Linked DNA regions of Oryzias latipes. The protein of the gene in region 1 purifies or fractionates together with the protein of each later gene. This does not show direct contact. Links are inferred from orthologs where the notes say so. Each region holds a gene or a part of one and is shown on either strand. Other genes may lie near its edges. The genes, in order: kiaa0232 and dyrk1a.

Region 1 (12,263 bases):
ATTCAGTCTCAACTGTCACCTGAATTTGGATACTTGCTTCTATAGATTGATAGGAGGAAAAGTAAGTGCCTTTTAGGAATTTCATTTTTCAGGTTCAAATCCAGATTTTTACGGGAAAGTGTACATGCTGTGCTCCCACCCTGGTTCAAATCCCGGCTGGGATTGTACCGTGTGTTGTTTGCGTGTTCTCCCTGAGCATGCATGGGTTTTCTCCGTTTCCTCCCATAGTCCTAAAACGTTCGTCCTATAGGTTAATTGACTATTCTAAATTGTCCCACGGTGTGCATTTGTTTGTTTGGTCCTGCAATGGACTTGCGACCAGTTCTGGGTGTGGCTCGCCTTTGGCTCCAGGAACCCTGTGAGCCTGAAACCGATTCAGCTGGTTCTGAATGGATGAAAGTGTGCATGTTCTTTGTGTACATGGGGCTCCTGAGCCCACAGTGTAAAATAGTTGCTGTAGATTTTAAAATAACTTACTGGCAGCTGGATGCCAGTAAGTTATTGTAAAGCATTTTACAACTTTGTTACTGTAAAATGAAATACGGTACAATTTCTTGCTGTGTTTAATTTTAAAGTATAAAGCTATAAAATGAAATACAGTACATGGATATTTTACTGTAATTCATTTTAAGGTTGTACTACCCTAAAATGAAAAACAGTAGTAGTAGTTCCAGTAATTGTACTGTGCTTCCTTTTACGATAATATTAACGTATATCATTTCCAGTATATTTACTTTAAAATAAATATGGTAAAAAAAGAGTTACTCTGGTTCTCTTATGACGTCTGTAGCTGTTTTTAGGCCATATTCCCTATTTCACTTAAAAAAAAACAGTCATTCCTGCAATTGTTTAAGGTTATATTAACATGGAATGAGTTCGTAGATCTTTGCAACACCAGACAGAGACGTACGATCCTTTATTTTACACCTCAGAACAATTTCAATTCCCCTTGAACAAAACTAACGGATGCACAGAGAGAACATTCAAACTCAACACACAAAGGTTCCCACAGGGGTTTGAACTGCAGACCTCTTTCTGTGAGAGGATGGTGCCAACCACTGCACCACCATGTCAACAGTTTCTTTATAACTATAGTAAAATGGTTGATAAACAATTAATAATGACATTTTAACAGTTAGTGTTTAGTTCTGTTTTAAACTAGCCTAATTGCTAAAAATAAAAGCCTAACAATAACTGTTTAAAGTATTCAACCAGCTCTTTCTTTTTTCTTGGTTTGCATTAAATCCATACATATTTATATATAAGTAAACTGTCTCTTTTACTACAATCATCCCATGTTTGTTATAAAATGTAAAAATCTTGTGGATCCAGTTTCTAGACCGGGTAAGACACAGTGACACATGCAGTCCAGTTACAGAAGTAAGTGAGTTTGTGATCTTCTTATTTTGTAGCCAAAGTACTAACCACTGCACCACCATGCCATCTCTGAGGAAGTATTAACTGAATTCTCTTCCAAAATTGCAAACCCTCCTGGGTAACTTCACCTTCAAGGGTGTATTTCTAAAAGCCCATCATGTCACAAATGTTTTACAGGAAACGTTTGGATTCCAAAACATGTAACCTAAAAAATTCCAATGTTTTTGTCACCTCTTCACATTGAAAACTTCACAGAGGAAAAAGAAAACCGGCTGACCTCCACTGCGTATAATGCTGGACTGGTTTCCTCTAACAAAACACCAACAGGAAGCTGTTTTAATAACAAAATAAAAGCATCATGACTCTCCATTTGCAGGAAGCTTTATTGTATTCCCCACTCACACACAGTTGAAACTCAAACATTTACGAAAAGCCAAATCCATGTTGGGAAAGCACATAGAATCACATTTTTTCTGTCCATTTCTACCAGTAAATATTACATTGAAACTTACAGCAGTGACCATGAGCTTTTTCTAATTCATTGATGTTTACAGACATTACAGTAAAATACTGCCCAGTTACAGTATAGTAACCGTAAAAAGGCAGTGGCGGTTCTACATGAACTTTCTCCCCGGGTGAGTGAAAAGGAGCTTCTGGATGACCGCCATTGTTGTTGTCGTTACCTTCACCTCGCATGCGCCAGGACGGGTCAAGGTAGAGTGGAAACGCTTGCCGGAATTGCTTGGACCATTCTAAACCGGACCAGACAGTAAGCGGTCAGTGAAAAACAAGGCTAAACTAATCTTTGTGAACCAGTAATACTCATAATGGTTACCAGCGGCTCAAATACTTCCCTCAATGAAGTGCAAAGAAATGGATTCAAATGCTTGAAAGTTGATTTCTTGATTCTCTTTGAAATTTTCTAGATGTTACAGTTTGTTTGTATATATATTCTTTGGAAAATATACATCTAAATTTAAATGTGTTTGTGTGTATGTGGCAACAGATTAGAAGGAAACATGAGTCACAGAAGGAACGGCTGACTAAATCTGCATTTCATGTCATGACTCACCACAAAAGCATACATATTAAATATCTCTACAAGTTGTGGCAAGCCTGCAGCAACCAGTGATAATGATAAGGCGAGCCCTCAGAACTCAAAGTCAAGTCCCGGTAATCAGATATGCAAAGATGGTTTAAAGTGTGTTTTTAGTCTTCACATTTGCCCGTAGAGTCTAGTTTTCTGTGCTGGTGGAGTGTTTAAAGATTTGGACAGCTGCCATGGTGAAAATGAAAGCATGCAGGGTCCAGCAGACAGATCAGCAAAGGAAAAACCAGTCCTGCTGCTGTCATAAAGGCTGGGGGACCTTTGATGCAGACTGGTCTCCTTGATTAACGTGCAGCGCTGTCATCGGCCCTTTTCCAGAGATAACCTCTAAAAGGATTGTTGCTGCGAGAAGTGTGTCAGGTGAGCAGGAGGTGACGACCGCTGCTGTTTGCTGCTCGCGTGGCACCACTCCCACTCAGCGCGGGGGCCTCTGTGATTGCATCGTCATGAGAATCAAAGTTTGTCACATGATCACTCACATTAACATCAGTTTCTCTTAGGCTGCCCACAATGCAGTATAGAAAGACATGCGGGTGTGATCCAGTCATGTCTGTGAGGTCACATGACCTGTCCTCCGTGCTGCTTGTCTCTATGACTTCAATCAATATGACAACCATGAAAACTTTCTTTTTCCCCAAACAACAGACGGAGCATCCCATCGTTTTTAAGCTCTTCCTGGCTGCTAGAGTTGTGTCAAGGGGGAGGCTGGCTGCACTCTTATTGACTAAGTTAATACTGACTTGACCTATTTAATCCAACAAGTGTGTTACACAAGTGTGTATTAAGAGCAATCTCTGAGCAAAGTAACCACACAGTTAGCTGTGGTTTGTATGGGGTGCAAAATGTGTAAAGCTACACAGTCAAATGTCAACGGCAATATTTTTGGTTATTTAGCCGGTTTTAGGAGGAAAAACAACAGGTTTCATTTTTCAAATGCATAGTTTCACCTTTTAATTCGTGTATTTATAAATGTTACATTTACAAACTAAATATTTAGTTAGCAAGCTAAATATTTAATTTAAAATTGAATATTTTTTATATGTTCAGTTTACTTAATAAATGCTTCGGTTGTTAACTAACCCTTGTGCTATCTTAGATGACCCCACCCTCATATTGACGTGTTCTACCTACCATGACAAAGGTGGATAAAGGTGGAAAGATTTCATGTAATCCATGGACACCAGTGAAGATCACAAATCATTGAAGAAAAAAGGTTCAGAGCACTGTCTAGTGGGTCTAGATGACCCAACTCCCAATGTTAAAGTGCCTAGGATAGCACAAGGGTTACAGTGACAATTACAGTTGCATAAAAAACATATGTTTGCTTGTTAATCTATTATGAATCATTTTAAATTTGATTCTGTCATGTTAAGTTACGTTGACAGTGTTTAAGTCCTAATGTATAGTTGCCAAGTCTGATTCCCCCTAGATATGAATAAATACACACCAATTTTTATTTTTTATTCTAAGAAATCAAAAACTTTTATGCACTTACAGGCCACATAAAATGAAGTGGTGGGCCACATTTGGCCCGCGGGCCTTGAGTTTGACACGTGGTCTAAGGGCAGAGATGCCCAGTTTAGTTTAGTCTGTGTAGTTAGATCAGTTTAGGATTCTCCTATTGAATATATGTATTCATGATCCATGATTTGATGTTTACTTTACAATTACCGTTATTGAAGCCCATTGAGACGACTGTTGTTGGGATTTTGGGCTCTAAAAATACAATTTAATTGAATTCTAATTCATCCAGGTAGATTCCATAAAAATAAGTCAACTGGACTTGGTTTAATCTTTGAAGATGTTCCTCCTCTTCTTCTTAGCCGAAGAGTGGAACATCTCCTAAAATTGTACGTGCCATGATTGTGTGTACAGGAAGCAGATATAAACACAAAAAAATTTAAATGTATATCATAAAACAGATGGCTCGTGCTCTGGTATGGACCTGTTAAAGCTGTTAGTATCACATGATGACCCGCTAACTAACACCGACAAGTCACAGTGACTCTGCACTGCATGTGATTTACTTGCAAGCGTCACCGACGTCTGCCTCCATCCTCCTGGTGCAGGGCAGCAGCCGACAAGCCCCTCAGCCAGCACTGGGATTTCCCAATGATGTGAAATAAACTGAATCTTTGTAGGAAACATCTGCCTCGCACCCAAAGCCACTTCCTGGGAGAAGATTAACGGGCCTCGTTTAATTGTTCTGTACCATCTGCCGCACGATGACTTCTGGTTAATGAGAACCCTGCCGATAGCAAAGCGCCGAGCAAACTGAGGTGCAGTCTCGTAAAGGTCACTTTTTGGGGCACGTTGCGGCGGTCAAACTCTGGTCAGACTCTGGTCAGACCTTACCAGGACAACAATCTGTGAGGCAGAACCAAATTATGTATTTCAGGGGTCATTTTGTGGATGGGTCTGAGGAGCTAGCTTCAGTTGGGAATCATGAGTGGCTCAGTATTTGTGTTCAGTGGTCCTAAGAATTCTTGAACGACTGTTGTTGTATGAAATGCATTTCAGTAAGCCACCTGAGTCTCACCTCAAGTTCACAAGCTCTGCCAACACAGTTGCCATGTGGAGAATGTGGAGTAGTGCAAACAGCTGGTCTGTAGGCTTGGACTTACCCTAGTCCCCAGATCATGACCCCCAAGGATGAGAAGGCAGATGAAACGTGCATGTGCACACAGCTTTGAGGGAGGGGGTGAAGGTTGCTGGGTTCATTTACAAGACCGAAACTTCTGCTCTTGACTTTTGGAAGCTCATTAAATACAACATTTCTATTAGCAGCATCAAAAACTACAACGTTAAAGTCTGAACAGGAACACGAGAGGCTGGGGCTGTTAGATTGGAGTCAAAAAGGCAAGATGTGCGAATGCTTAAAAAAATGCATGAAGGTGCTCTGTCTGAGCTCACGGACAAATAAGATGCAAGGAAAAAAATGAGGCCATTAACTGGATTAAGTGTAGGTCCCAGAAAGGAACGCGAGACATGGTGCAGATCTCTGTACATGAAGATAAATCTGCTGAGGAGGGTCCAATTTGACAGAAAACACTTATTTCGCTCCAAGAAATACATACACACACACACAGAAACATATACATATAAACAAGTGTTTGTCCATCCATCCATTTTCTTAACACACATATCCCTTTTGGGGTCACAGGGTTAATGGAGCCTGTTGGGTGAAGGCGGAGTACACCCAGGACAGGTCACTAGTTTGTCTCAGGGCCACAAGCATTTATATAGTGTTTATTTATCATTGCAGGAATGTAGCTGTATGGGACACTAAAAAACGGCGCATTAGTGTGCTTATGTGTTTGGCGCATCCTCACCAGATAGAATCAGTTACAGCCTATTTACTACAATAAAACCAAAATGATGCTGTTGACTGTTATAAATTAGCAAGGCAAAACCACCCAACAGTTTCATTTATCATTACAATGACAGTACAGGTTTATTCACAAACTTAAAGTTTGACTTTCAAAGTAAAATGTAGTTTTTATGTTGATGATTTATTGTTTAAATTAAACGAAAGTAAGGGAAAAATTACATAGATTTACTTTATTTACTTTGATATGTGGACAAATGTTGTACAAGTAAGGGTACAGACATTTTGTGCTAATTAATATTACATCTAAAATTAAGAACTTATATTTGGGCTGGATGGATTAATTCTATAGTTTTATAAAGCCTACCTTTTCTTTTGTGATTATTTTCTTATTAATCAAGCTGAATTATTAATTTATTTTTATTTACTTTAATTTTTGTAGTTGCCCTGTATTGGTTTCATTTCAGCGTGGGTGTGAATTTTAAAAGGACTACTTATTTGGACTTGTGATGTAATACTCCAGCGGAAGAAACTAACCAGCCCTCCCAGGACGGCGGAGCTTCGCCCCGTTGCCTTGGATACAAACGCGAAAGGTGTCGCATTCAGAGGAATGTTTCTTAAGGAAACTGGGTTTTCTCGGCGGACAGAGTGGCTTTCGCTAGTCCACACCGCCCGTCGGTGACTTCTCGTCGGCTGGAGCCCGAATGCGGCTGGTTTTCCTGCTGCTGTCGGAGACACGGTGGATGTGAAAACAGCGCCATTTCTGTCGGCGTCCTCCATGATACGCGATGCTACCGCAGCGGATTCCAGAGCTCGAGCTCGGAACTGCAGCGGGAGAGAGATAGCCGCTCCTCTTTCGCTGTTTCGCTCGACTTCAGCCCACGGCATGTAAGTAAACCGGCGAACAGGCTTTCTTCCCGTCTCCGCGCACACTTGGCCATTTTGGTGTTTAATTTTTAGTAGTCTTAGTGTTTTTAGTTATGACGAAACGGCGCAGGGAAAAACGTCTGACAGTCCTCTGGTACCGGGAAGCCGTTCCTCCCCCTTGATCACAACAAGCGTAGCTACGTGACGGCTAGCGTTAGCTAGCTATAGCTGGTTGGAATTTGTTTTAAAAGAGTTCTTGGATTTTGGCATTGCCATATTTATCTCCCGCGTTTCCATTTGTGTCTACAAACTTAAGCGAATTATATGTTCTCTTGACTTGTTTATTCCGAATTATTTTATGGAGAACCGTCATAGCGTTTATGTATGTCGCCGTTATAAAACCCGTGATAAATTTATCTTACTAAACAACCGGATTAAATGGGGTTATTATGACGCGATAGCTGAGACCAATGCCTAAAATTATCGTCATGCTAATTAAAATGATTAAAATAAAGAGGACAGTGACAGAAAAGGAATAGCGCTAGGAAGCTAATGTAGCTAGCATAGCTCATCTGCTAAAGGTCGGTGGTCAAGCTAACCTTGTCGTTTGACTGCCAGTGACGCAAATCCTTTTAGTTTGTCGGACGCTGAACTACGTTTGACGTTTACGAAATTCGGCATTATAATTGCACACCAAAGTTAAGGTTGTATTATTAGCGGCTTTTCCCTCAAACTCGGAGCAGTTTTATTTATTGCCGTAAACTGTCCGTTTTTTGCGCAAAACTTCAATGCGCAGCAAAAAATACTCGCACATTCCCGCCACAGCACTCCAGTCTCATGTGTTCCCATCTAACGGCAAAAAGACCGCTTCTGTTGGAAGGATTCTTGGGTCATTTAGGGGTTGTGTGGAAACCTTCAGGCAGAAATTAGCTACCAGAGCTAATGCGCACGCGAACAGCTGGCTTGGAGACACTGGTCAGCCATATTTAGCCACTATTCTATCAAGATTGCAGACCTATAAACTCCTGACCGTCTGCGTTTAACGCACTCGCTGCTGTCCCACAGAACCGTGTGGATTGCTGACACGTCATGATGGCACACTGGAGCTCCTTATCTCGCCCTTTGACGTCCTCACCGGGTGACGGCGGTGAAGTTATGTTGGATTTTCGACAAACATTCAGCGCGGAACCAGAGCGGTGTCTCTTAGGGACCGTCAATAAATTAACAAATGCCTGATATGGGGTGATGTTAGATCATAACTTAGACTCACTGTTTTGCTTAAAGAAATGGATTACAATGAAACAGGTTCATCAAGTTGTGTTCATAGGATCCTATTTATTTTGCTATGACTACAGAATAAAAGTTTGAAGTTAATATTCTGGTATTTTGTTCAGTAGCTCCCAATCAATGTGACCTTAGGATTCCAAATGTATGCCGAATTGTACCAACACCAGACACACCCATTTATTTTTGCAATTTTAGATGGTGAATAAGCCTGCACAATAAATGGCAAATTTATTGTTATCGCAATATCAAGCTGTGCAATATGCTAATCACAAACGAAGGTGAAAATTGCAATAAATGGTAAACTTAAATGTGCATCAACAATTTTATGGCAGCTTGAAGTATTTAATAAATCAAATAAATCCCTTTATGCATTTGACCAATCAGACGGAGCCCTTTTATGTTAGATGGTCGTCTCCTATGTAGACGAGGGTCATTTGGAGTGTAATTTAGGTTACGTGGCCTCTAATTTAAATGAAACGGTAGCAGTGAAATGCAAATGATGTTTTTGGTTGTTTTGCTATTTGTTCATGAATCACAAGTTATATCGTCGTCGCAATATTGATCACTAATATCGCAGATCGGTAGTTTTCCCCATATCGTGCAACCCTAATGCTGAAAATTTTTTAATATCAAAATTTCAGAGGTTTGCATATTAATTCTGGCATTTTTTCAATAGCTTCCAAACCATGTGACCCTAAAAAATGAAACTTATGCTGAATTGTGGCACTGACATCCCAACATAATGCCCACCACTTTTTCTTTGCAGCTTTAGATGAAGAATATTTTATGAGTTTTTATATTCAATTATCAGAGGTTCCCATATGAATTCTGGCCATTTTTTCAATTTACTCTAACTGTGTGACCCCACGAGTCCAAATGCATCCCATTAGTCCATTGGACGAGAGTGCAGTGCATTGGTCAAGAGTGATATTTGAGACAAGAAAACAAAACTATTTTGTGCTTCCTTTCTCCTGCTATTTGCCAGAGATTGCTGCTCTTATGTTTTTTTTTTGTTTCAAGTGTCTGTTGGGATGCCAGTGCCACAATTCGGCATACATTTCATCTTTTTGGGTCACATGGTTTTGGAGCTATTAACACAATGGCCAAAATTCATTTTAAAACTGCTAGAATTTTAATACAAAAATTTATATAAAATATTTATCATCAACAATTTCAAAACAGTGGTGTGTCTGATGTTGGGGGTGTCAGGGCCACAATTCGGGACACAGTTGGGTCACATATTTTGGGAGCTATTGAAAAAAAAAAGCCAGAATTCATACGTGAACCTCTGAAATTTTAATTAAAAAATGCATATAAAATATTCAGCATCTGTGATTGCAAAATAAATTTGTGTATGGTGTTGGTATGGTCACACAGCTATTGAAAAATTAGAATAAATACAACATGAGGAAATGCTTTATTGTAATTTAGTATTAGGTTTGATGTAAAATCTTCGCCATATCATGCACACGTCCATCGAATATCCAACCTAAAACTAACTTCACCGTGGTTTCAGCGGGTAGTTATCAAAATGCTGCTGCTGAGTGACGACAGGGCCAGCCAATCAAAAGGGTGCAGCCTCCATTCGTAATTTACGAATGTACTGCTGCCGCTCTGCAGAAACTATGTTCTCGAAAATGACAGTTTTTTTTTAATTTTAGCTAAAAGCAGCATAGTCATAATCTAAAGACCAATGGGAACACTTTGAAAATAGTTTAAAAGATGATTAAAGTGGGACTTTATCTCAACTTTGACAAAGTCTTTAAAAACTCCTTGTTTCTTCTGTTTCAGCTGATGCCGGTGAAGTAAGGCCGAGTCCCAACATGGACCACTCCGACTGAGACTTAAACACGTCTTGTGTTTTCCTCTGCAGCTGGAATCTGTCAGCAGCATAAGCCATGCCTCACGAGTGAAATTTCTTTCCTTTTTTTCTTTTTGCTAAAAGCAATAAAAACAAAAGATCCTACATGCCTCCCCATGTAGAGCCCCTTCAGTGCATCCTGCTGAAGTGAGCCCCCTCCCCGCTTCCAGGAAAGTTCTACCTTCTCCTTCCTCCTTCACCTGCCACCCTACCGTCGCTCTCCGTCACAATGCTGCTCTGCCTGACAATGGCCAAAACCTGAGGTCCCATGCGTCCAGTGAGCACCGATTCAGACGGTCCTGCTCCTCCTGAGAACTTCTCTTGCCCCTATCCTCTTGTGGGCCCCCTGCCTCCTTCAGAGATGTCCCTGCTCCAGTCGCTGGGTCCAGTGCAGAGCTGGCTCGGCCAGGAGCTTGAGAAGTGTGGGATTGATGCTATGATTTACACCCGCTACGTTCTCAGCCTCCTCCTGCATGACAGCTATGATTATGACCTGCAGGACCAGGTGAGCGTCAAAGTCTTTAAAAATATGTCACAATGCAAAAACAGAGTTTTGTTTTTTCCACTGCTGGGTTAATGTATATTTACTGAAACAGCTGGATCAGAGCTAAGGTGTGTGGGACACTGATAATGTGACGCGTGGTTGCACAAAGGCTTTTGAAATCAGGGTTGCAGAAGCCGTCGCTCTTGTGAAATTTTTTTTATTGCTGAAGTTTTCCTGTGTAAACAAAGGTTTCAGTTTCAATAGAAGTTATCACAAGTCTTCGCTTACACTGCACTCTCGATTCAGATGAGAACATTGTGTTCAAAGGCTGAAGTGCAACTCTTCCAAAGACCCAGTGCAATTTCTTAGAGCTTTCTGAAGGACCCAAACATTTTCAAGTGTTGAACCGGTTTGCTGACTTCAAGCTTCAAACCTGCCACACTTTAGGTCTCAACAAATACTGACAGTATGAGGAACAAACTGCACAGAACTGCAGCAGGTTAGTCTGCAGTTTTTATAAAGATCACTGTAAACAGCTCTGAACTGACTAACTGCAGATTTCACACTCAAAAACGGGGCCCTTAGAAATAAGTCAAAAGCATTTACTCCATTGGCAAATTTACCTCAAATAAGCACAAAAAAAAAAATTCTGCCAATGGGATATGACAAATGGTCTTAACAAGAAATCTTAAATTATGGTAAAAGAAATCTAGTCACCATGGGTGTATTCAGACTGGACACATTTAGAGTTAGATTCCCCCGATAATCCAGAACAAATTTTCAGTCTGAATACGCCCAAGTGGGCCCTGGTCCGGGACCAGGAACCGCTCTCTGACCCATCTTTGGAGGTGGTCTCGGTTCGTTTCCAATTGGACTGTGCTTTGGTTCGCTCTGTGATTCCTCAGTCTGAATAGAATCCGTCATCGGAGCAGAACAACTGAACCCAAACGTGATTGGAGTAGGAATGAAGCAACGGACAAGTCGCTGAGAAATGTAAAGCAACCATTGTTTTATCAAGCAGGAAAAAGGTCCAACTGTTTATTTGTTAGAACTTTTATTTGAACAGCTGAAAACACTTCTCACATGCTTTGATGTCACCCTAAAGGCTACCTTGTAGTTTCCTCAACAATTCTTTTAAAAACATAACACCACAACATTGACACACATCAACTCATTGACATGAGATTATATGTATTCAGGCTCGTTACAAACACTTGAACTCGACACACATAGCTTCTCACTGTTTTCTGCACAATCTATTCAACATTAACAGTTATCATCCATACCCGACATTTGCTCATTACTTAAGTTGCTAGCATCCTCTGAGTTTAAGTACACACGGCACGTCTCCTTGCAAGTAACCAACTTGCAGCACGCCTCAGCCGTACCGAAGTAACAAGTAAAAAGTGTTGTACCTGACGTTCCAAATCTAAATTTAAAGTTCTAAGAGATCTTTAGTGTGGGATCTTTAAAGAGATCTTTAGTCACATGGTTTTGTTTGCAAGCTCTGGTCTGAATGAGCCGCTTGATGCCAGTCTGAATACAGACAAAACGCAAAATTCGGGACTTGATCCGGACGAAATTAAACAGAATCAATCTGGACAAAAATGACTTTTCCTGTCTGAACAAACCCTAAGAAGTGTTTTTTCAAGTTTAGATTATTTTGCTTTTGAAAAACTTTCTTTGTGTGATTTATTCTTCTTGCAAGAAAGAAAGTGATTTTTTTCTGGTGCCCTGAAAATGTTCAGTTTTGCACAGGGATGCTTCCTGCAGAATAACCTGAGTCTGGACCCTGCAAAGAGACATAAGATCTTTCTCAATCACCAAGGAAATTGCACCACCAACCACTTTCTTTTTGTTTTGTGCAGTTACAATTTTGAAATGCAGTCCTCAACTTGAATTTTGTTGCAAACCAGTTCTGATCTGTAAAATAGTTTTTACATTCATTTAT
Region 2 (12,349 bases), on another chromosome or scaffold:
TAAACCCTAGAGATGGTTGTGGGTGAAAAACCCAATGGATCAGGAGTTCCTGAAATACTCAGACCAGCCCGTCTGACATCAACGACCATGCCACGTTAAAAGTCACTCAAATCACCTTACTTCTCCATTCTGATGCTCGGTTTGAACTGGTGCAGATCCTTTTGAGCATGTCTACATGCCTAAATGCATTGAGTTTCTGCCATCTGATCGGATGATTAGGATATTGTATTAACAAGCAGTGGGACAGGTATACCTGTGGCAGCTGAGTTTATATTCTCTATGATCTGTACTGTCCTAGAAATATATTTGTACTAACTCATTGACACACAAACACCATCCAAGTGGGCACAGCCTTTTTAATTACCATGTAGCATTGATTTCAAATAATTTATGCAGCCCAATCTTAATTAAACTCTATTTACACTTTCCCCCGTATTAAATTTACCTTAAATGCAAAAAATAAAAAACTTCTGACCAGCTTGTTGACAAGACTATAAATGTTTGTAAAAGGGTCATATAATCAAGTGAGCATCCACACTGGCTCCTCTCATGTCAGTAATAAACACAATGCTTCAGGTTTATCGACAAGCACTTTAAGATTACCGATCACAAAAGACTGCTTAACCTTTGCCTTAACCCTACCAATAATCCAATTCTGACTCTAAAATTCCAAACAGATGGCAAACCTGTAAGGGATAGATCAAATGTCCTCACAACTGCCTGTGTCCCCATAATGTCATAATGGTGACTGGTCCTTACAAAGTAATTAAAGACAGCTATATACCCACACACTAACACCCAAAATTAGACTTTGCATTGACATACATACAGTTTGAAGCTAGTAAATCCTAATCTTAAAAGTAGGCATCAGCATTGGATGCCAAACACTTAAACCAGGCAGACAAGTTCACCTTTGCAGCTCATTCATTCATTCATCTTCTTGACCATTTTTCCCTTTCGGGGTCACGGGGTTGCCGGAGCCTATCCCAGCCACTTGGGCGTATAGGCAAGGGATGCCCTGGACAGGTCGCCAGTCTGTCGCAGGGTAGAATATCCTCAATCACACATCCATTCACTCTCACACTCACACCTGTGGACAATTTAGAGTTGCCAATCAACCTATGAAGCATGTTTTTGGACGGTGGGAGGAAGCCGGAGATCCCGGAGAAAACCCATGCATGCACGGGGAGAACATGCAAACTCCACACAGAAAGGTCCCCCATTGATGTTGTGTTTTTCATGTCCCCCAGCTGGGACTTGAACCTTTGCAGCTCACAGATATAAAAAACTGATCACTTATGGGAACATTTTAGGTAAAGGTTGATCTGGGGTCTTAATAATTAGCAAGTGAATCAGCTGGTAATGAACAGAAATGTTTTTTAATGGAGTCACTGATAGATGGGATGGCTGCTATAACAAAGAGGGCAGCAGTTTTAAGTGGCATTAACTTGGTTTTTGTACATCGTCCACAATTAGACCTTTTTTTATTGATAAGCAACGAAGCCATGTGGTGATGCCCTGCCCAGACACTTTTTCAACTCCTTTTCTTTGGCTGTTAGTTAAAAGTATTCTACCTGCATTGATTGTTTTGAGCAGGATTATGACTGGCCCCCAGATTCCATCCAGATGGTCAAAAGCGTGAATGATGGGCAGGTTAGAGGTAGCTTTCATCTCTACTTTTGTCACACAGCCAGGCAACGATCCAAATTCCTAGAGATATGATGGAGTGTTATTTCGGTTTAACCCAACTTAGCTCATTTACAAGAACATGATATAATGTAAAACTGTGGTTTGGACAGGTATGTCAAGGTCCTGCAACAGAATAAGCCATTTGTGATAGTCATCAATTGTAAATGTTATCTTTTGTCAAAAGAAAAATCAAAACAACATTAAAGCGAGCATTGATCTTCTACGTATAGATCTATTTGAGTCAGTTAGTATATGAATCTAGGGGGAAAAAATACAGTATTACAGAACTTCACCCAGACAAATTGAAAATCACAGATCTGTTGAATTATTTTTTATTCTTCTCAGCCGCCTTTGACTGATTTTATTTACAAATAAAATATTGAACTCAGGTAACTTTCAAACTGTAAATGAAACTTTCTTGGGAATCAAAGCTTCAAAAATTATTCTTGAACCTAAACTGCTTTGATGTCCATTTTGATCTGTTAAGCTACCATCTTAATAACAAACCGAGAAGGAGGGTCTAAGGACAGGGATGCCCAGTTTAGTTTAGTCTGTTTAGTTTAGTTTAGCCAATACCTATTGAATTGTATGACTTCATCTTCTTTATGATTTAATGTTTATTATACAATTACCGGTATGAAGCCCATTGAGATGACTGTTGTTGTAATATTGAGCTAAATAAATAAAATTGAAATGAATTGAATCTTCCTGTCATGTATCAATTTCTCCTCTAGATCCAACTCCAACCAGACTATTGAGTGATATGTTTCATGTACCATAAATAATATTGATCCAATAAAGCTGCAGAGACCCATGAAATGTTTTTTATTTGCACATAAATGATTGGTTCTGATACAAAAAAAAGTTACTAAATGTTATAACGCGTCGATGAGTTTACTAAAACATTTTATCCTTCTAAATGTGAAACATTTTATAAATAAAAGATTAATGAACTGGACTGACCCAGCAAAAAAAGAAATGTTGAAGTTACTGTATTGCAAGACTTTGCTTTTGATTGGCTGGAAAAGTTGCAGATATTAGGAGTAATACAAAGATAAACCAGTTTATTTATTTATTTATTTATTTATTTATTTATTTATTTATTTATTCATTTTTGTATGCAAAACTCTGTTTAATGCTGAAGTGTCCCCCAGAGATGCAACAGGTTGTCTTACAGGCAGGTAAAACCAGTCAGGCTCTGAGAACATGCACACACCTGGGCAGAGAAAGTTAAGAAGATAAAGAAGGAATGTAAAGCACAAAATTTGACATTTTTTAGAAAAACATTTAAAGTTTCATTTTTATTTTAAAGTATTTTTTAAAAGTCTTTTTTTAAATATATTTTTATTCAGCAGCCTACAACGTCCCAAAATCCTTCTTCACTGCTGATAATACAGTCACAAATTCAAATGTGCAACAAGTATATCTCTATCAATTATATTTTCTTTGTATGAAAAAAGTGAATTCTTAAAAGAAGTAATTGTTTCTCCTCTTGAATTTGTGGCTGTTTATAAATGTAAGCAGCCCCTCAGGATAAAGGTTATTTCAGTCCAACACACAAAAAGGTAACAAACTATTGTATCAAACTTTTAGTTGTATGGACAGAAAATTAATGGATTAATGAAATTAGTATCAAATTTGCTTATAACCATTGATGTAGCCGCATTTAGCTAAGTCTGAATGTTGCATATTTACTGACCCTTTTCCATTTGTTTGGTTCTATCTTCTTTAACCTAAATGTACACTTAGGACAAGGTCTCAAATCACCAGTTCAGCTGACTCATGACAGCTGAGAAGCATCTTCAGTCATTTAAACACACATTTCACAACACACCAATCAAAATTTGCACCAACAGATAACAATAATAATAATTGAATATTAGCAGGGTTCATGAGCTCTGGACTCTGTAGCGCATAGATTGACCAATCTGATTGTTAAGTGTACTGTACTATGAAACAATGCCAGTCGCCTCTCTGCGACAAGTCAGTTACAAATTAGCTTCACAATATAAAATATGAACAAGGAAGTTTGTGTCCCTGAAATGCTGTTATTGTCTGATTTGGTTGCTAGCTGTAATAAAAATCAAGGGTATTTCACTTAAGTCTAACCAAGTAAAGCTGAGAAATACAGGCAGAATTTATCATATTCCATCTCAGGCTTTCATGATGGTTAAAGTCTAAAATTTAACAGTATTAAAAACTATAAATCCGTTAAAAAAAAAGTTAGAATTTTTTTTAACATTTATATTCCAGTTTTTGCATATGGGCATGAAAAGGCCTTAAAATAATTCACCATGGACTGTTAGCACTGTACAATTTTACAACCACAAATTTTTACACAATGAACATGCTTAACCCAACTACTGATTCAGCATTAATTGGTTCAGTGACAAGTTAACACCCATACATCTCCTGCAATGTGGCCAGTACTAATCTACTGCATGCAACTGGAATTTCTTTTTAAAAGCAGCATTTGATTATTGTTGCAGCATAACTCAAACTTACAAGGATAAGGTTGTTTTTTTAAAACCTTTTCAAAGTTTAAAGGATATTAATCTTTAATTATATGGGTATCACTAGTTTTATACAATTGTGATTTGTAAACAGATAACAAAATAGAGCCTTATATTTTAAAATTTTCTAAATTAATGTAGACTATTTCTGACAAAATTGTGATACATAGATAGATAGATAGATAGATAGATAGATAGATAGATAGATAGATAGATAGATAGATAGATAGATAGATAGATAGATAGATAGATAGATAGATAGATAGATAGATAGATAGATAGATACATAGATAGATAGATAGATAGATAGATAGATACATAGATAGATAGATAGATAGATAGATAGATAGATAGATAGATAGATAGATAGATAGATAGATAGATAGATAGATACATAGATAGATAGATAGATAGATAGATAGATAGATAGATAGATAGATAGATAGATAGATAGATAGATAGATAGATAGATAGATAGATAGATAGATAGATAGATAGATAGATAGATAGATATGAGGTTGAAGAGGTAGCAAACAGGGTATGACACAGCAACAGCACAAAAACGACTATACAAAGAAAAATTCACATATATATATAAAGCCATGGCTAGACACAATATCTAACAAAATATGTTGTCTGGTTCACCAAGCGAGCTACATGTGTAGAACTCTGGTCAGTTCAGATTTTATTCGTCATTGGTGCATCCGGGTACTTCCATTTTTTTTGATTGACAGTTGCCATGGGAACAAGCTAGAGCATCGCCATTTTGTCAGGAGGTTTTTTTTTTCCTCTGCTCAGTCTTTTCAAATGTTCTCCCTTCCCGCCGGAATAATGCTGTCAGAAGATATATGTTTGACGTTTTTGGATGTTGAAATGCGCACAGTGGATCGGATCAAGAAAGTCAAGAGGCCGATGTTTTAATTGAGCTGAAATAATTAGGCGGCGCCGCACTAACTCAGTTGTCCGTGTCTCTGGTCCACCGGGCCGGTTCACTGCGCAGGTTTGGACCGCGCGCCATTTTGTGAAAATTGACTCAAAATTCCTAACCAAAATTATCAGAGGACGCGGCTTATGGTTTGTGTTTTCATGATCTGGATATAATTGTATTGTCGCACTAGTCGAAGCGACCGATGTGAATTTTGTAAAGATAGCGTTAAATCGGAATTTGGCATAACGTTTGTTTAGCGGTTGCTAGAATAGTTAGCTTGAGGCCAACCAGGGCAGGTAGCTAACGTTAGCTGCGCTCATTTTGTCATCCAGCTAGCCAGCTCGCTAAGGTTAGCTACTGACTTATGCGTGCTGCTTAGCATGTTGCTTGTCATCGGGTAATATTAACATTTGCTGAAGTTATTTCGGCCTTGGATGTTGCGCATTAAAGCTTGAGCCATGAAGTGCATACCAGATGTGACTGACGGGTTATTTTAGAGCTTGCCGATCTGAGTACAGAGATTGGATTTACTCGCTAACCGTGCAGGGAGGGGAGAATCTCAAGCTGGATAAGTTTCCTCATCTTACAGGTTATTGGACTTTAAATGAAGATCGTGCCATCAGAGGTGAGTAATCGCAAACTGTTCTGTTGCGCATGATCGTTTCATGGCGTGGATACTACATCTTTCGGCGGATTTTTTTCACTCTGCAGAGGGAATAGTTAACAATGATGGACGCGGTAGACAAGGATGGTAGCTGGTGTGGCGGCTAGCTAACATTTTTTCCTGTAAAGCCAGCGTTAACGTTCGCCTCCAGTCAGTAGGTCAGTGGACGGATTTTAACGCTGGGCGGATTTAGTCTTGATGTCGGCTGTAAATGATGTGTAGCAGTCAATGGAAGTCATGTCTGCACAGTGTTAACGTTTTTGCTAACTTTGCTATATCAGACACTGTCATTGTATGATTGAGACCCTGTTACGTTCCGCCTCCGATTTGACTTACTGTCAGTGCGGTGGGTAATTACATTAATACAAGGGGGCGGTTTGAGCTTCAGTGCTCAGAGGCTAACCTGGCTTGGTAGCTTATTCGGCTAACGTGGCTAATGGTTAACGCTGACTTGTTGACGAACCAGTTTGAATGGGCCCCACAATCCGCTGGCTCCACACAGCGTCACTAGCTAACGGTGGGCTGGTGGTGAGAGACCTGCTCGCCTATCCCGCAGTTTCAGGGGAACGACGAGCACGTTAGCTAGTCGGACAGCTAACTGTAATGCAAGCCCATAAACGTTTGTCATCCTCACCGGGATTTGGAGTCCTACATTAGCGATACAAAGAGAGAACGGACGTTAACTCTGAACATGCCTCTCAAATTCCAGCCATGACGAGATTTATCGTATCATCTGTAAGTAAAGAATTTCTCGGGAAAAGCGTCTGTTTGGATTAACGATGGGCTTTTAATTGTTTAGAGATGGGTTTCGTCTGATTCCGCTTTGGAATGGATCTAAGCAGTTGGGCGTGAGAAGATGACACACCGGTTTGATCCATAGGTCTTTAACAATCACTTGTGATGTTATACCGCTCCGAATATAAGCTAACTGTTATTATATTCATGCTTTATTAAGCCCGTTGATGGCATCATGAGCACAGCTACTGAAGGAACTGTTCAGTCTCTTAGTCCTGAACCTAAAGAATAGTAAGACGTTTAAAAGACGCCGAAGCAGCGACGGGACTGCTTTCAAAATGCTTTATCGGCTTCACTTGTTTAAGAAAATTATATTTATTTGTCCACATTGAATTAAGAAAGTATTTTATTTGTCTTTAATGTTTAATCAGTGTTCTAAAATCAAACTTTCAGCTCTTTGTTAATTTTAGAAAGGTAAATAGAATGTGTCTGTGTTTGATTTTGTTTATGCATCTTTCTTTTTTCCTTCTCAAAAGTATTTAAAACTTCCCATATAGGTGACAATTTAAATAGTTTATTGCCTGATAAGTTCAGGGAACCACAAAAATATCCAACCTGATTTAATTTAGTGTCATAACTATTTTCTGATGAGCTCAGTTTGAAGATTTAGATGCTTTTTTTTTTTTTACTATTGAACTTGGTGGTCATACTGATTGTAATCATTTCTAAAAATTAAAAGTCACAATGGATGATTTTGTCCTATTATAAATATGAATTCCTAAAATGCAGCTAACCCCTGATGACTTTGCAAAGTTTTGGATGGCCCTCTCCCAAGCGGTCCTGTCATTCACTTCTTCTCAAGTTACTAGTAAAGTTCAGTAGCCACCAAAAATGTAAACTTATAATAATGTCTTTTTGTTCCTTGTAGTGGGTTGTGGTTTGCTGCTGGACTCTCCTTCCAGGATGATATGAAATTTTGCAGAAGATGCATCCAGGTTAGCTGCTGTATACTTTCCTCCACCACATCTTTGGTGGGGGACTTTAATATTTTTTGGCTTTCTTCTGTCCTCCGCTTACAGTTTTATTCAATCTGGCATCTATCCTCTCCAAATTTTTGTCTCCCTTTAGAAGATAAAGATCTAACATATAATTGAGACCATCAGGATTATTTAGTTTATTTTTTAAATAGCTATGCTACTTTATTAATAAATAAACACACTTTTTGTACAGTTAAAAAAAATGCTGCTTTTTGAGCCTTAAAGGGCACTAGAAATTCTACAAATAAAAATAAAAGAAAGCCCCAATTTTTTTAGGTTTAAATATAACCTCTATATCTAAAATAGAAGTGAAAGGACTCCCACTTATGTGTTTAAATTTTATAAGAAAATAAGTCAAATACGTAGCGCCTTATAGCACCTCAAATATAGTGTTGCTCTCTGCTCATCTTACAGCTCCTTTTATTTCTGTCAGTGGACGGGTATTTCTTTACTTTTCTAAAGCTGGGTCAGCTTTCTTATGCTCTCATATGAAGTGCAGGTTTTAGGCTGTGCAGCTATTTTGCTGTCAGGCTCTTGTGTTGAAAGCAACGTCTAAGTGTGCCAAAGTTCAATTTTATTTCTTGTTTATTTCTTGTTTTCTCATTGGAAAATGGGAGCAGCTCTGCCCTGGCAACAAAAGTAGGCTATTTGCATACTGCGTTGTGATTGGTCTGTGCGTTGATGGGCTTGCCAAATCACGCTGTATCTCTGTGGTGATAGGCTATGCTAATTAGGTGCTGTTGCTGGGATTCTGAATAGTGGTTACTGTGTAGCACTGGTGAATTGTGTTGTCTGGTGAGAGATGCTGATAGCTGAACATGCTATTTAATAATTTTTTGATTCCTTCTGGCTTAAAATGAAGGATGATTCACCGTACAGTGTGGAGATGCTGTATTCTCACCCCTTTTCACTGTTAAACTGGCTGTTTTTTCCCCTTTTCCTCACAAAGGTTGACATATTTCTGCTGTGTTTTGATTTTTTTGGGGTTGTCCTTTGATTGCATTGTTTAACGTGTACATGTTTAACATAGCACTGTGTATAAACCTGACATTTAATTCTTTAATTTACTAGATTTTGCTGTTTTTGTTGGTGTTTATCATCATTTGAGATTGATTATTAACACAAATGTAAATAATGCTGTTAATTTGCATTTATAAATTCCTATAGATAATTTCTTTTCATCTTAAACTAAGCTGAAGTTTTTTTTGTAAATCTAAACAACAAATAATGTTTCTTTATTATATTGTTTTACCTGTAAATAACATAATACATCTTGCTGGCTTTCTTTGTAGCGTTAAATCTCTGATGACCTCTTTTATTTTCCTTTTTCACTTTTGTATGTTTCTCTGTTCAATGACTTTAAAGGGAACTTTAATTTCCTTTTTAGGAGGAGAGACTTCAGCATGCAAACCTTCGTCCGTCCGGCTTGCGCCCTCTTTTTCTTTACACACTGCTGGTCTTCAGATGGCTGCTCCAATGCCCCATACGCACCAGCAGTACAGTGACCGCCACCAGCCAACCACTGACCAATCTGTTACGGTTTTACCGTACAGCGACCAGACACCACAGCTCACTGCCAATCAGGTACAATCACCCTTCCCACTGCCCTTTTAGGATTTACAGGAATAGCTAAACTTAATTGCACACAAAAGTTTGCTCCCTTTTTTTAAACAAGTATCACTAGGCAGAGTAGCTGCATGTCAAATGTCTTTCTGTGTAATTGTGTCACATTGTGTTAACAGCTTTGAAGTTTAAACACAAACCCTGTAAGAGGAACTTTTTACTTCTAAAGTTGTGTTTCTTTTGTTTGTTTGTAAAATGTTGTTGTACTTTTATTTCAGAGGCACATGCCCCAGTGCTTTCGTGACCCAACTTCAGCTCCCCTGAGGAAGCTCTCCATCGACCTTATCAAAACATACAAACACATCAATGAGGTGAGGCTTTGCTTTAGTAAAAGTTCAAATCATTCTTTGACATTTGTTTTCCCCTTGTTTTAAGATGTTTGCTATTTCAACATTCTTTTTTTTTAAATTGGTAGTCTTTATTATTTTATGAATTTGTTGTTCATAAAGATAGATATTTTTAATTTATAAGAAAAAAACATTATTATTCATTTAAAAAAACAGGAATTTTATACATGAAAAACCTAATTTGTTGGAGCAAAATCCAAAGGAACATTTAACATTTCCTGAAGAAATCTCTGCATGTGCTTTTCTGAAATGCATTCAATTTTCTTTTTTTCTTTTTCAGGTTTATTATGCAAAAAAGAAGCGGCGGCACCAACAGGGTCAGGGTGAAGACTCCAGTCACAAAAAGGAGAGGAAGGTTTTCAATGATGGCTATGACGATGATAACTATGACTACATCGTCAAGAATGGGGAGAAGTGGATGGACCGCTATGAGATCGATTCCTTAATAGGAAAAGGATCATTCGGACAGGTGAGGAATTAAAACTGACAGTCTGTTATTTGTCCACTTCTAAGGGGTTCCAGCTTTCTGACCTTCCTTTTTTTGGTTTTAAATCTTGATGTTTAGTGTAACAAATGTGCTTCAGATATAATACTTTTAACATATTTAATACTGGTTTTGTTCAATTCTCAGGTTGTGAAAGCTTATGACCGAGTAGAGCAAGAATGGGTTGCCATTAAGATCATTAAGAACAAGAAAGCTTTCCTTAATCAAGCCCAGATTGAAGTGCGCCTTCTGGAGCTTATGAACAAACATGATACGGAGATGAAATACTATATTGGTAATTTACTTTTGATGTCCCACATACAGAACAAATCCAACGGCTTGCAGTGTCAGCGACTAACGCGTCCAATTTTTGTTTCTTTGCAGTCCACCTGAAACGTCACTTCATGTTCCGTAACCATCTCTGCCTCGTGTTTGAAATGCTGTCATATAATTTATACGACCTGCTTCGAAATACCAACTTCCGCGGCGTCTCACTCAATCTCACCCGGAAGTTTGCCCAGCAGCTATGCACGGCACTACTCTTCCTGGCCACCCCCGAGCTCAGCATCATCCACTGTGACCTGAAGCCCGAGAACATCCTCCTTTGTAACCCCAAGAGGAGTGCCATCAAAATAGTGGACTTTGGCAGTTCATGCCAACTGGGACAAAGGGTATCTACCATCATATATTTCATCTGCTATACAGTCTATGTGTGTTTGTGAGAAATGGTTTGCAATTTTCAACAAAAGCAATGCGCTTTACAGTCACCCTCACTTCCCACGCTTTGTGTTTGTAGATATACCAGTATATCCAGAGTCGCTTCTACCGTTCTCCAGAAGTGTTGCTGGGAATGCCCTATGACCTGGCCATCGACATGTGGTCCTTGGGTTGCATCTTGGTAGAGATGCATACCGGAGAGCCTCTATTTAGTGGAGCCAATGAGGTATAAAACATGATAAAAATATCAAAGACATATGTGGAGCTTATTGATAACAGGAATATCGAAAAGTCACCTTGTTTGTAGTTCTTCAATAAAAAAGTACCCTTAAAACTGGATTTGTAAGCCGTGGTGTGTTCCTACAAGAGCTTAGAAGCATTTTGACATTTACCCTCATTTATAATGAGTGCAAATACTTATTAAAAGATGCATTTGGTTTCTTCAGGTGGACCAGATGAACAAAATAGTCGAGGTTCTTGGCATCCCACCCAATCACATAATGGACCTAGCCCCAAAAGCCAGGAAGTTCTTTGAGAAGCTTTCAGATGGTACATGGAGTGTTAAGAAGACCAAAGATGGCAAAAGGGTGAGTTGACAGCTTTAACGCCAACTGATGGGTGCTGATGACGGAACTGTCTTGTTTGATGTCTTGATATGCACATTAAAAAGCTTTACATGTCTTTGGTTTCTTTGTAGTATAAGCCTCCAGCTTCGCGGAAGCTCCACTCCATCTTAGGTGTGGAGACGGGCGGTCCTGGTGGCCGACGGGCAGGGGAGTCTGGCCACGCTGTTGCTGACTACTTGAAGTTCAAGGACCTGATCCTCCGGATGTTGGACTATGACCCCAAGAGCCGCATCCAGCCGTACTATGCCCTACAGCACAGCTTCTTCAAGAAGACTGCGGACGAGGGGACCAATACAAGTAGTAGTGTGTCGACAAGCCCCGCATTAGAGCAATCCCAGTCGTCAGGAACCACCTCCAGCACCTCCTCCAGTTCAGGTAAAGTCCATCTAAAGGTTCTTAAAGCTGCACTATGATGACACAAAAAGATGTATTTCAATAAGCCAGAAGGTTAGTAAACAGTTACTATTATTTTATTTTGTTATATTGATGCATAGTGAGAAAGGCTTAGGAAACCATTGCAGGCGATTCAAAACAATCTTTTAGAGTTTGACATGCCAATAATAGAATATTCCAATTTTCTGAGATTTGGAATTTGTTGTTTGTATTGACTACGTGTTATGATCAAGCAAAATAAACAGCTAAATTATGTCGTGTTTGTGACAAACCTGTGCGAGTTCCTTTTTTGAATAGAATTACTGAAATAAAGCAACTTTTGATGAAATTCTAATTTATTATTTAAAGCCTGCATTTTTCTGGTTGTATGTTGGCTTTAGGTATCAGGAAAATCTAAGTGTGTTGATGTTGCTTACATAATAACCTTTATGCAATACTTTGATGTATTTAGGGCTATGTAAGGGTATTTTCTGATTGTTTTTCAAGTGATAAAAGGGTTGTAAGTTTGGGTGCAGCGCATTGATTTTAAGATTTTCTTACACTCACACAGATACACAAACCGCATGCATGCCTGCCGGATCCTAATGTATTAT

The links.
Region 2: the proteins of kiaa0232 (region 1) and dyrk1a purify together in Homo sapiens (affinity purification with mass spectrometry; 3 studies listed by BioGRID and IntAct, with this or other methods). This does not show direct contact. The link is inferred for Oryzias latipes from reciprocal best matches to the Homo sapiens genes KIAA0232 and DYRK1A.

What each region holds. Positions count from the first base shown.
Region 1 is NC_019876.2:26,951,226-26,963,488, reverse strand, and holds the start of kiaa0232 (uncharacterized protein KIAA0232 homolog), read left to right. Parts: upstream 1-6,339; 5' UTR 6,340-6,701; intron 6,702-9,758; 5' UTR 9,759-10,096; coding exon 10,097-10,333; intron 10,334-12,263.
Region 2 is NC_019871.2:12,320,144-12,332,492, forward strand, and holds the start of dyrk1a (dual specificity tyrosine-phosphorylation-regulated kinase 1A), read left to right. Parts: upstream 1-4,951; 5' UTR 4,952-5,755; intron 5,756-6,337; exon of another isoform or gene 6,338-6,529; intron 6,530-7,457; 5' UTR 7,458-7,514; coding exon 7,515-7,524; intron 7,525-8,953; coding exon 8,954-9,150; intron 9,151-9,407; coding exon 9,408-9,500; intron 9,501-9,816; coding exon 9,817-10,005; intron 10,006-10,167; coding exon 10,168-10,315; intron 10,316-10,404; coding exon 10,405-10,691; intron 10,692-10,816; coding exon 10,817-10,963; intron 10,964-11,183; coding exon 11,184-11,324; intron 11,325-11,434; coding exon 11,435-11,738; intron 11,739-12,349. UniProt on the Homo sapiens protein: Dual-specificity kinase which possesses both serine/threonine and tyrosine kinase activities. Exhibits a substrate preference for proline at position P+1 and arginine at position P-3.